Linked DNA regions of Drosophila melanogaster. The protein of the gene in region 2 interacts with the protein of the main gene of each other region in a pairwise test. Each region holds a gene or a part of one and is shown on either strand. Other genes may lie near its edges. The genes, in order: PGAP1 and Cad86C.

The links.
Region 1: the proteins of Cad86C (region 2) and PGAP1 interact in a two-hybrid assay, tested with the Drosophila melanogaster proteins (one large-scale study listed by BioGRID).

The regions. Positions count from the first base shown.
Region 1 is NC_004354.4:5,684,597-5,691,578, forward strand, and holds PGAP1 (Post-GPI attachment to proteins 1), read right to left. Parts: upstream 4,878-6,982; 5' UTR 4,806-4,877; coding exon 4,665-4,805; intron 4,602-4,664; coding exon 3,870-4,601; intron 3,809-3,869; coding exon 3,626-3,808; intron 3,574-3,625; coding exon 3,329-3,573; intron 3,275-3,328; coding exon 2,852-3,274; intron 2,791-2,851; coding exon 2,665-2,790; intron 2,597-2,664; coding exon 2,403-2,596; intron 2,343-2,402; coding exon 1,709-2,342; intron 1,641-1,708; coding exon 1,545-1,640; intron 1,485-1,544; coding exon 1,316-1,484; 3' UTR 657-1,315; downstream 1-656. Other genes in the region: cv (crossveinless), read left to right, coding at 6,173-6,392. UniProt on the Drosophila melanogaster protein: Involved in inositol deacylation of GPI-anchored proteins.
Region 2 is NT_033777.3:10,825,349-10,830,214, reverse strand, and holds the start of Cad86C (cadherin 86C), read right to left. Parts: upstream 3,137-4,866; 5' UTR 2,875-3,136; exon of another isoform or gene 2,219-2,874; intron 1-2,218. UniProt on the Drosophila melanogaster protein: Cadherins are calcium-dependent cell adhesion proteins. They preferentially interact with themselves in a homophilic manner in connecting cells.

The DNA.
Region 1 (6,982 bases), on a different chromosome or scaffold from region 2:
TGTGCAATATCAACAAATAGTTAAGCTAATTAAAGAGCACGCACAAAATATGATACGATCCATACGCCAAATGTTGCACAACCATCAAAAAGTTGTTAACTGACTTTGGCAAACTGTTTGGCTCCATTAAGGATTTGGTTGAGCTGAGTGAGCTACTTAAGCCGCTATTGAAATGGCCACTTTTTGCCGATATTAACATATGTACATTGCTCGGCGAACTGCCATTTGGTTATATCACAAGTGGCACGAATATTGACCACTTTCGTCACACGTTGGATGACAGATGTCGGCATGAATATATGGAATATATGTACATATGAGCTGGTGTCCACATCCTTATCGGGACATCGTGTTTGGTCAGTGAACAAAAAGCCCGCTCCGAACGACTCCCGTGGGCACTGTTGACTTGCCACTGCAATGGAATGGCTCACCCAGTTTGCGTGGTGCTGGTGTGGGGTTGTGAACATGATGCACCGACTGATCCAGATATCCACGATGCGCAAATAAGACATTAAATTGATGGTGTTGATCGAACGCAACCAGATCCACATTCAATCGGCATCCAGTTGGGTCGATCGATGAATCCGCACTTCAACGCCCAGCTAAACTGGTCAGCAAATTGGCAATTGCTCGTTTTTGGTAGTTATAAAATTGGTATAAAATTGTATTTTAATGGTGAAACAAGGGACTCACTAAATAATAAAATAAGAATAACACTTGGAAAACATTTACAACATTTATACAAAAGTTAGTTTGGGATGAAAGTCGGTTTGTGTCATATGGCAGCTACATTAGGTCGTTGATCCATTTGTAAGACGAAAGAAACAGAGTGATTAATACAAATTTATATTGTCTTCGCTTACAAAGGATTTAACTAAGCAAAAATCAATAGAATATTAAGTAAATAATTTCGGAGGGACTAAAGTACTAAGATCTAAGGTCTTTGGCTAAAACAAAAAAAACCACAAAATGGCTGGCGAGTGTCGCTGCTGCTAATGGGCATTAAAATTTTCACACATTTCCCTCAAATGGAGAACTACGTGCCAGCCACCCGAGATGGCGAGCCAATCGCCAATCGAATGCAGCAGACAGCAGGCGTAAAAACAATTAATACATATAACGTGCGATCGGGGCAAATCGAGATCAACGCCCAGCCGAGCTCAGTTTGGACTTCCCGCTGGTGGAGATCCAGATCTGGGCTTATTTGCCTCGCTATTTGCTTGGTTTACATAAGCGACACTCTCTCTCTAATCGAAGTGCATTAACTAACGCAGCAATAAATAACAAATTAACACATGGAGAACCATAACTGAAACTAGACTCGTGACACACGACCCCATAGGATCCAGAGACTTTGGTGGGCAGACAGCAGGGCGAAGGCCCCGGCAATCACATAGGTCAGCCTGTAGATGGCCGCCTGGCAGTACAGTAAAACCACGCCGGCCAGAATGTAGAATGCAATCGATAGCATCCAGTATCCCTGACTGCAAAGCATTTAGCATTTTAAAGATAATATAATATAGTAATGAAAATTTTTCAATTACCATTTCTGTGGAGCTCGCAGCTGGAGAAGCAAACTCAGTGAGGCCAAAACTACGATGCTGGGATACAAGCTCGGATCCGGCAGGTTAATGCCATGCCTGAAGAAAAAAAAAACAGAGCGGAAATTCAGCTCAAGATTATCTTCGAAAGGTTAGAAAATAATTACCGGCGACTGCGCAACCAAGCCAAACTGCTTGGAGCATTGAGCAGCAGTTGCACGAATAGCATCAGCAGCAGTGTGACATGAAAGGAGAAATTCTGCAGGCCAACACAAGCCTCCGGCTCTTCCTCCTCCTGCTGCTGCTGCTTCTGTTCATCGTTCTGCTTCAGCGCATTCTGTTCTTCATTCTGCTCCTCCGTTGCATCTTCCTGTTCCGTCACTGCAGAGGGCTTTCCACGCACCAAATTAGCCGCCTTCTGCCATAGGAAATCCTCCAGATAATCCTTGTAAGCATTCGAGAGCATCAGAAAGTAGAAGACAAAGGCCAGGAGAAGACCCACTCCGCTGCAAGTGCCCATGGCCGTGGCAATAGTTAGTATACCGTACGTAATGGGCAAGTGGGTCATGATCGAGATCATCACATTGGAGGTTGCCTGGGAAAGGCGCGTTATACGCAGGGCTAGGCGGTAGAAGGCGTTGCCATAGAGCGTCAGGGCCAACCAAGTGCCCAGCGTGGCCAGCAGGGACAAGGCAATGGCCGCACAGTGGATAACAATGGACACATTGATGCTGTAGTCCAATGGCTCTGGCTCCGGAAACACACGGCTGCTGATGATGAGCTTCTTTAGGAGGCGACATGCTGAAAATGCATTAAATATGGATTAATATGAGTATGCTAAATACAGTGGTGCAAACAAACCTGTGACAATATAGAGCGATGTATACTGCAGGTAACCCACATAAGGACGCAGGCTACGAAATGTGCCCACGTCGTAAAAGGTCTCAACTTGTTTTCTCAGCACAATCAGCAACACGCAGACCAGGTGCGCCGGCAACCAGCCGTAGAATTCCAGAACAAGCCGAGATAGTGCCGATGAATAGGAGTACTCATAGCTGGAAGAGCACATAAATCAGAGTGAGATGGGTTTACACTACTGAACTAAGTGTGAGATGAAAGTTACCTGATTCGATAGCGGCAGGTTGGATCTAGATATAGCTCCAGTGTCACAGGATTGAGCGTGGTGTTATAATGTCTGGGCACTAGTGTAGGCACATTTACATACAATTGGGGCTTCTGATCAAACGATCTGAAAAGATAAATCATACGAATTTAATACCACAAGGCGTAAAATCGTATATCAAACTGACTTGAGTGTTTGGAAACGTTCGAAGCCCGCTGCCCAGGGAACGCATATTCTCGCAGTTACCCTATACTCGGGATTAATGCACTGCAGCGGCTCCACAATCACCCGAATGCTCTGGTATGGATCCACCATCTCGGAGATGCGCACTCGATGGTGCAGCGTGCCCTGAAGAGTCTCGTTTATCAATGGCAGTTTGGCCATTGTGTACCAGCGCGGCATCTTGATGTCCGTCACCCGCTCTTTAGGATCGTAGATGTCCAGGTTGTAGCCGATTCGCTTGGCGCTCGGCGGTAGGCGAACGAGCAAATGGGTCCAGTGAACATAGGTCTTGCGCAGGTTGTGCAGATCGAGAAGAGCAATGCTGCGTGGCTCGCGATCTTCGTTGGGCAGCCACTGGACGAGGTGCATCAGGGAGGTAGCCTTTTCGCTGTGCAACAATTAATTATACAAACTATCTCAACAGACTACTCTGTTCACTTACCAATAAAGCTGTCCCGTCTTATTGTTGTCCTCTGCGGAGCATCCGAACAACCAGTCCTCGTCATCCACATTCAAGGCCTCGATGGCCGCCTTTCTATAACGCTCCTGTCGCTGCAAGCCAATCAAATCGAAGAAGGTGCCCTTGAGGCCGTTCGTGAAGTACTTATTTATCACCAGACGCCGCTCCTCGTGCCAATTTCCAGCAGCTCCGAATCGCACAGTATTCTGCTGACGCCTTCGAGGCTTCTGTAAGTATATCATTTGTATTTACTAGTGCTTAGAATACAATGCAACTTACCACAAAGGTAGACAATGCCGTCTGCAAGTTGCGCTGCTTGTTGGTGCCAAAGGCGATCGATGAGCGATCCTCGCGTACATAGGCTACACTGAAGAGAAACCTATTGATGGCCTGCATGAACTGCAAGCACCACACGGCCGACAGATGGTCACAGCTCAGACTAACTTTGGGTATAGCTGATGTCTGAAAAACAGGAATAAAAATAAATGCGAATTCAGCCGGACAAGCAGAATAATTTAACTACCATGGCATGCAGATCGTTGAACCGGGAGCTGGTGAGTCCAGGTCGCACCAGCAGATCCCTATTGCCGCCACCCGTGGAAATAAGCAACACATTGTCCAGCCGCGCCGAGCTGTCCTGACTGGCCATGCGCTGCACACTTGGTGGTCGCTGGTGCAGGCTGTCGCAGACATTTGTGGTCATCGTGGGCACTGTGGCAGTCCGCAGCTTGCTCAGCACAGCGTCCGTTTGGTCGTAGAACTCCTCCAGTTGGGTATCCAGATTGAGCACCGGCTGATCCAGCGGCGTAGATATGCTAATAATTGTATTGATGTGCTGACCAATGGCCGGATCAACTAGCACTGACTGCGCTAGCTTGCCGCCCATGGAGTGGCCAATCAACACGATGGAGGGCTGCTCCGTGCGACCCTCGTAAATCGAGAGGATGGTCCGAATGCACAGCTTCAGATAGCTTTGTTGGCGGTGCAGATAGCCACCGTACAGAGCGGACAACTCCTCGTCGTAGTCAATGGTGTAGTAGTCCAAATGTATGCCCGCATCGTTGGACATTGCCTTACGGAGGGCGACAGAGGCTAGAGAACGCACCTGTTTGTAGGAGCCGGCGTTGCCGGGCACGAAGATAACCGGAGCACCCGTCATCCGGCGCTTAAGCGGATCCAGCGGCTGTCGCAGTCCCTCGTAGTAATAATACAGCGCGTAGTTTGGATACTGGTCGCCATCCCTAACTCCCACTTTCTGCAAACCAAGTATAATCAGCGATTGGTGGGCCGATCTTTTCAAGAAGCGAATCGTACTCACCGCAAACATGGGCTCGCCGAACATGTATGTCATCCGGCAGGCATTGGGCTCCACCTCGACGTGCAAGCGGAACAGGCCGTAGATGAAGCAGCAGATGGAGCCGATCACTAGGAGAACAGCGCAGTTCCGGAACATAAACATCCTGGGCTTTTAGTTTTTCATATCTGTTTATGTCTTGTTTTGTTATCATCCATTCGATATCAGGCGATGCAAAGTTCCGCGAGTTATCGATAGCTTATCGGGTATGTACTTGTTAATGGTGTGCAAGCCGCCCATGAATAAAAGTATCGTTTAAGTTGCTTATCCATGACATGATATTGAAATTATAAACATATATACTGTAAAATGATCAGAGCTACGTACAATAACATTTAATTGTATAACACTAGCTTTTCAAAATTTTGTTGGATAAAATTTCTGTGAAACAATAGTTTACGAAAACTACGTACAAAATGCATAGAATTGCTCATAGTCCTGAGCCCTAAATACAAGAGAATATTTTAACGAGCTACTAAAATAGTTTGTAAATTGGCTTACATAAACATGAGAACAGCTATTAATGGATGAACTAAAGTTCTTTGCTCAATGCGAAAAAGTATTATGCAAAAACCGAGTAATTTGGCTTGATCAGTGTCTCGTGATTTCGAGTCGTGATTTTTTAGAACCCGTTCACTGCTGTCGCAGTTGCGCTCATCTCCAATCTCTCGATCGCCACACACTTGCACATAAACACCTATGTATCGAGCCGAATCGTGTTGTTGCTTTGCCTAGTTGATCATTCAGTTGGCGTACGCGTGCGCTGTGATCCGCCGATCTGATCTAAACCGATCCTCCAGATTCAGACGAAGTTATTTGATTCGGATACCGGAATTGTCAACAAAAGGCAGCGGCGCCGGCGTCAGTATCATTCATTCGAATTTCTAAGCTGGCTCGTAACTGTTAGTGTGTGCGTGTGAGCCAGCCTGCTTTCTGAGCGTGTGTGTGCGCTTAATTCGCGTGTGCGTGCGCATGTGTGTGCATGTTTGTGTCTAGCCTGGCTCTATTGTTGTTGTTTCAGGTGTGGGTAAGAAGCAGAAAAGACAGTTTGTGCCCTAGCAATAACAAAAACAAGGCGAGAGAGAGACATTGTCGCCGCGCAGTCGCTCCTCTGCCGCCGTCAACGTCAGTGCCGCAGCGCACAGTTCGATCCGCTCGCTAGTTGTTGCTGTTTAGTGTTCGTTGTGGTGTCGCTTGTTGTTGTTTTGATCCGTCCGGAATCGCATAGCGATAATTCATATATATATAAATATATATATATATATATATAAATTAATAGTGGTGCAAGAAGGCGAGCAAATCGAGTCAAGTCAAGTCAAATCAAATGCCCAATCTGCGTGTGCTTGTGTGCCTGTAATTGTTGTTTTGTTGTAATTGCACCCGCGCACACACTCAAACACTTAACTGCGGGAAAGAGCGCATTCCAATCCCTACACACACACGCGCACACGCACACACAGCCACCGCCGATCATGGAAATTTGGCGCTCGCTCACAGTGGGCACCATCGTGCTATTGGCCATCGTCTGCTTCTACGGCACCGTGGAGTCCTGCAACGAGGTCGTCTGCGCCTCGATCGTCTCCAAGTGCATGCTCACCCAGAGCTGCAAGTGCGAGCTGAAGAACTGCTCCTGCTGCAAGGAGTGCCTCAAATGCCTGGGCAAGAACTACGAGGAGTGCTGCAGCTGTGTGGGTAAGGAAGGTCGTCGAATCCTCGGTCAGTGGGCGTTGGGTGGTTGGAGGTTGACGGTGGACAGTGGCTGGTTGTGCACATGCATAGATATAGATTTGATCACCACTGATGATGTGATGGCCATCGCTTTGTTTTTGTTGCTGTGCGTATGTGCATGTGCGTGAGTGTGTGTGTGTGTGAGTGCGGGGGGAGCTTGCGATGTGCTAACTAGTTATCGATAACGGACTTGAGCTGACGATCGGGCCTAGCCTTAACCCTTACGTGGGACAAGGGGTCGCAGCTCTAAGCCGCTAAAAGAAACAAGTTTAGGTCCCTCAGATCGAAACAAATTTTCAGATTATTACTGCCAGAGAAAGTACACATTGTTTTACTTCAAGAACTAGACTAGCAAATTTAGATTTGTATATAATACTTAAAAATAATACTTAGATTCCAAGTTATTATAATCATCAAACAACCTTTTAATTGTGCAGTTTCTCTGTCATTTTATTATCCATTTTAGTAGTGGGCCAAAAAAAGTTTATTGATGCTGTAAATAAGTAAATAAATAATAGCCTGTAATCATTCCGATGGGGTTTTCGGGAAATGCA
Region 2 (4,866 bases):
GCTCCTCAGTCTGGATTACCAACCGTCATCGGATGAAGGAAGCCTTGCAGACGGCCAGACAAAGACTGTGACTGATGGCTTGCTGGCGGATCAGGGGCCTACGGCATTAAGACACTCGGCAAAAATCATATGCAAATCGACAATAAAGTAGTGACTAGTTTCATATCTTAATGCCACCTACTATTCATTTATTCGTTCAATTTTCCATTTCGGTCACCTAACGTGAATTTATATCAATGATATTCGTTTACATTAATTATCAGTTGAATGTCTTTATGGGTCATATATCTTTTCGGACTATCGCTTATGAACCAAATTGAAGTGTTTCGAATCGTTTAATTAAACGCTATTTTCTTTCAGTGCTTAAAGAACAAGATTGGAATTGGGAATGGAGTGGAGGCTAGGGCTATTTTGAAGAACAGAAAATCTATTTGCAGTCGTTGTAAGGAATCGCCGCGTCGTTGTAGGCCATAATTGCTCTCCTCAATAAAGCAAAAATTTATTTCCACTTTGGCAAATGGGACGCGCTGAGAGTTGGCCAAGAGGGTAGTGTAGTGCTAGTGTTTTGGCCAAGAGCTGCGCGGCATGGCAAATGAAGAGCGGGCCAAAAAGCCAGACTGCAGCGGCGACATTGTGGGCGTCGAGCATAAATAAATGTCTTTATGTGCCTTCGCGCAGTTATTGTTCTTCATTTTGCATGCGGTCGGGCCAAAAGGCTTCAGACTCCGAATTGTGTTTTTAAAACCTCGGTTGAACGACACTTTAATGACGCCACACTGCGTTGGGCAACCGGCGAGAACTAGTCGCCATTACGAGTTGAGATACGTGGATGTGCGTCCCGTTGCCTCGCGGCAATCGAAAGACTCAGGCAACGAACGCGATTTTTCGATGCCCATGCCGATGTGCGGTCGCTGTAATTCACTTTAAGCGTCTCCGGGCGCTGTTAATCGGGATGCAGCGATCGACGAATGGCTTTCCAGTAGTCTAATTTGCCGTTTTAGTTGAGGCCAACAGCCTGCCCCCAAATTAATAAATATGCCCGGTTGGACGCGTTGCATAAAAAAGAATAACCATAAACGAAGTAAATCATAGACCGTCGACCCAAACCGACTGCACCCCTCAGCGGCGTGTCGGATTTTTTTATAAATGAAAGCAAGCGGTAGATCGATGGCCGGGAAAAGGTTAAACTTTCGAGAACCCAAAGCCAAACGAGGCACGAATATACCATACCGTACATACATATGTGCGTTTTCGATGCTCAGGCACGCACGGGACGGCACATAAGACCCACAGCACACAGCACTGCCATTATGGATAATTCTGCAGCATAAATTTTAAAATGCCGCAAAGCTGTCAATTTTGGCACTGCCCCGAGTAAAGTGGGTCAGGCAAGGTCGCTCCGGTGTTGTTGCTGCCGTTCAGGTAAGTGGCCAGGTATGTAGTTTGCCTTTGCGTTTGCGTTTGAGTTTGAGTCTCTGTTTGCTTTTGCGTTGGTAGCTGGTAGCTGGTAGCCATGTTCGTGTGGCTCGATATATACAGATATGTATCTGTATATATATATATAAAGCAACTTGGCTAGTTCCTGCAGCAGCAGTCGACTTACTCGTTGGCTGCAGACGAATGTACATCGTTATGTAATCCATCAACATGGACCGACCAAGCGACCGATTTGATTAGATTCACCATATGGTTTGATGTTTCCAGTATTTATGGGGGATCATCCCACAAATTACCTCCAAAGTAGGTGTTTACTGGAAAATCATCCGACGATATCTGAGATTTCGGAAGGAAGGTTGGATAGATTGTCAAATTTACGGCGTCTGTTGAAATCGATTGCTACTTAACGAAAGATCAGTAATTAAATGTTTCGAAATAGAGACATGATGATTAAATATCGACAGGCGGCATTTAAGTTTTATTAATAGTTAATAGAGGACTTAAAGAACGTGAATATTTATAGAATGCATAAATGTTAATACATACGTACAGCGTCAATAATACCTAAATTATTTTTATATAAATTATTTTTATGAAATGTTAAGCCCCTTTACAACTTTTTAGATTACCTAATAATACAGGGGAGAGAGTTGGTTTTGACTTTAACTTTGTTTTATTTGTTATTTATCTCGCAGAGACATGATTTATATATTTAATTTTCTCCCTCGCACATCAGACATTGGTTGATTAAATATGTACATACAAACTAGTTCAATTATACCTTTTGAATGGTTAAAAAGTGCTGCGTTGTGAACTCCGGTAAAAAATCGTCGTATCTTCACAGTCTGACTTTTAATTTCAACTTTCCATGTGGTCGCGGTCGCCTGATTTATGCAACCCGAATTCGAGCACTTCACTGCTTTTGTTTGTCGTTTGTAATCAAGTGATTGACATTTTCGGACCCGCACTGAATATTAATAGACCGTATCTTAAATTGACTGCATCACTTTTTGGCCACTGATTTAAAGGCACATTTCTGAGCGTTTTATCCACCAACTATCCTTCCGCGTCCAGCACGTCTTTAATAAATTTATTCTGATGAGTCAAGAAGCCCAAAGAAATCGATTGAAAACCGAAACTGAAACCGAACCGTGTTTTCTAAGCGGCTCAGATAACCAATTTGGGGCTTCGCTTGAATGAACCTCGAACGACCTTGCCTTCGGATTAGATCAAAGTCGATCAGATCGGTCAGATACGAAATTAATGGGGATACCGATCGGGCAGACCTGTCAGTCACTACTAGGAAACCATTCTTTGCGTAACTCAACACCGAAGCTCATTTATTTTGGGAACTTGGCGAATTTGCTAAACGTTCTTTTGTTCGCCGTGCTAGAGTCTCCGATTGCAGAAACATCAACATCAAAAGTATTTACGTACAGCAGCGTCAGCAGTTCAGCGTCCACATTAAATTGCCGCAATTATACTGCCTGACCAGCAGCTCAACAATCTCAGTCTCCTCCAGTCCCGATTTCAATTGCAATTCCAATTCCGATGGCGATCGCGATCACGATTTAATCGCAGCTAGACATGGTATAGTATAGTATAGTATAGTATGGCATAGTCGAGGCGATACAATTTCGATTTCGATTCCGATCCGATCCGGGTGTGTTGTAAAGCGCGCCGACGACAAAGTGCTACTGCCGACGCCAATGGTCCGGAAAGAGTGCTGGACTAGTGGAGCTTATCTGGACGCGAAGAATTCTCCGCAGAAAGCCAGAGCGAGAGTCTTCCGAGACGCAGAAAGCCGGTTTCTCTCTCTCTCTCTCTCTCTCTCTCTCTCAATCTCTTTCTTCTCTTTGGAACCGAAAGCAAGGCAATGGCAATACTCACTCTTGTTTTTGTGGGAGCAGCAAACCCGTTTCGCTCGCCGGTAGGTACAACAACCACACTGCTCCACTACTCCACTCCACAACCACTCCACTCCAATGAACCTTGATATATTCCCAATAATAAACAAGCCTGAGAACTATCGGAAGCGGACGAGTCCGCAATTAATCCTGCAGCTCTTGTATTCGGTTGCGTTCGCACATGCAAATGGCGTTTTATTCAATTATTCAACTATTGGCCACAAATTTGCACGGCTTATACAATAGGTAATTTGTTAGCGATTTTCGCTGTTTTCCATTGAGACATGAAGCCATTATTGCATGTTATATATCGGTGCTTATTTCGACGATTTTATTGTCGCCTTTTCAAGCTGAAAATCAAAGCACTTAATGAATTTGGCGCTTCAGCAGGCAAACAATATATTTAATTATATTTAATATATTTATTATTTAAATCTTTTAGTGTGTTAGTTACCTACCTATATTTATGCTTCATTTACAATTTCGAAAGGGTTGCAATATTTATTTTTATATTTTAGCTTCTTAGAGGTATCGCAAAACGCATAAAATATTTTGTTGTTTACTTGTAATATCGGCTTTACAAAGGGCTTGCCATCATCAGGTGGTGGTAGTAATATTTCTTATTACCTACTTTAAATATTTCAAGTAGTTTTCGAAAGGGTCTTAAAAGTAGATTACCTAGATGCGACCGAATTATGTAATGCTGACTGCGTTCAATATCTTGTTATCTTTCGAAATATGTAATTTGGATTTGCTTTCTTGCCGACAGGAACATATTGTAAAGGTCATTGTTTTTAATAGTACTCGAAACTGAGACCGTGACTATGCTAATATTCAAAACCGACATGTTTTCGATTAATGACTTGTGTATGTTTAATTAATTTGGTCAAAAGACCGCACCCTCCGCCCCCCTCAGCCACCGACAAATTAAAACATTTAGAGAACCAATGTTTTTCGAGTTGGATTTTCCTGGTGGCGTCGGCCCGGAAAATGCTACACACGAAATTGCAGTAATTCGATCATGTTTTCAGCTTGTTCAATATGTGTAATCGTGTTCTGTGCTATTTATCTTGTGACCTGCATCTAATGCAGCCGGCAGAGCGCCGGAGCAGCCTATCGTAGGTACATTAAAATATTTTTCCTATACCAATACCAATACCAATAACAGACCAGTGCCGCTGTCTGCTGTCGACTGTCTTATAGGATATTTATACATGGGGCCAAAAATGAAGGAAAAAACGAACACAATGAGGGCGGCAACCTAAACGAGTTTACCGCCGAATCCCAGGCCCAAAACCCAAGACAAGAACTCGGAGCAGATGTTGAACCCATTTCTCATATTAACCTCCGTGCGCATGGAGGTTTCTTTACAACTTTTGCTACGGCTGCAGTTGGAAAAACTTGAGATTTGGCCAAGGGGCCCACGTGGTGACACACTTTTCCAGGCATCTATTTTGCTTTTTATTTTCTTTTTTTTTGTTTGGCGTCTGTTAGTCACGTCTTGGGTTGACGAAGTCGCTCC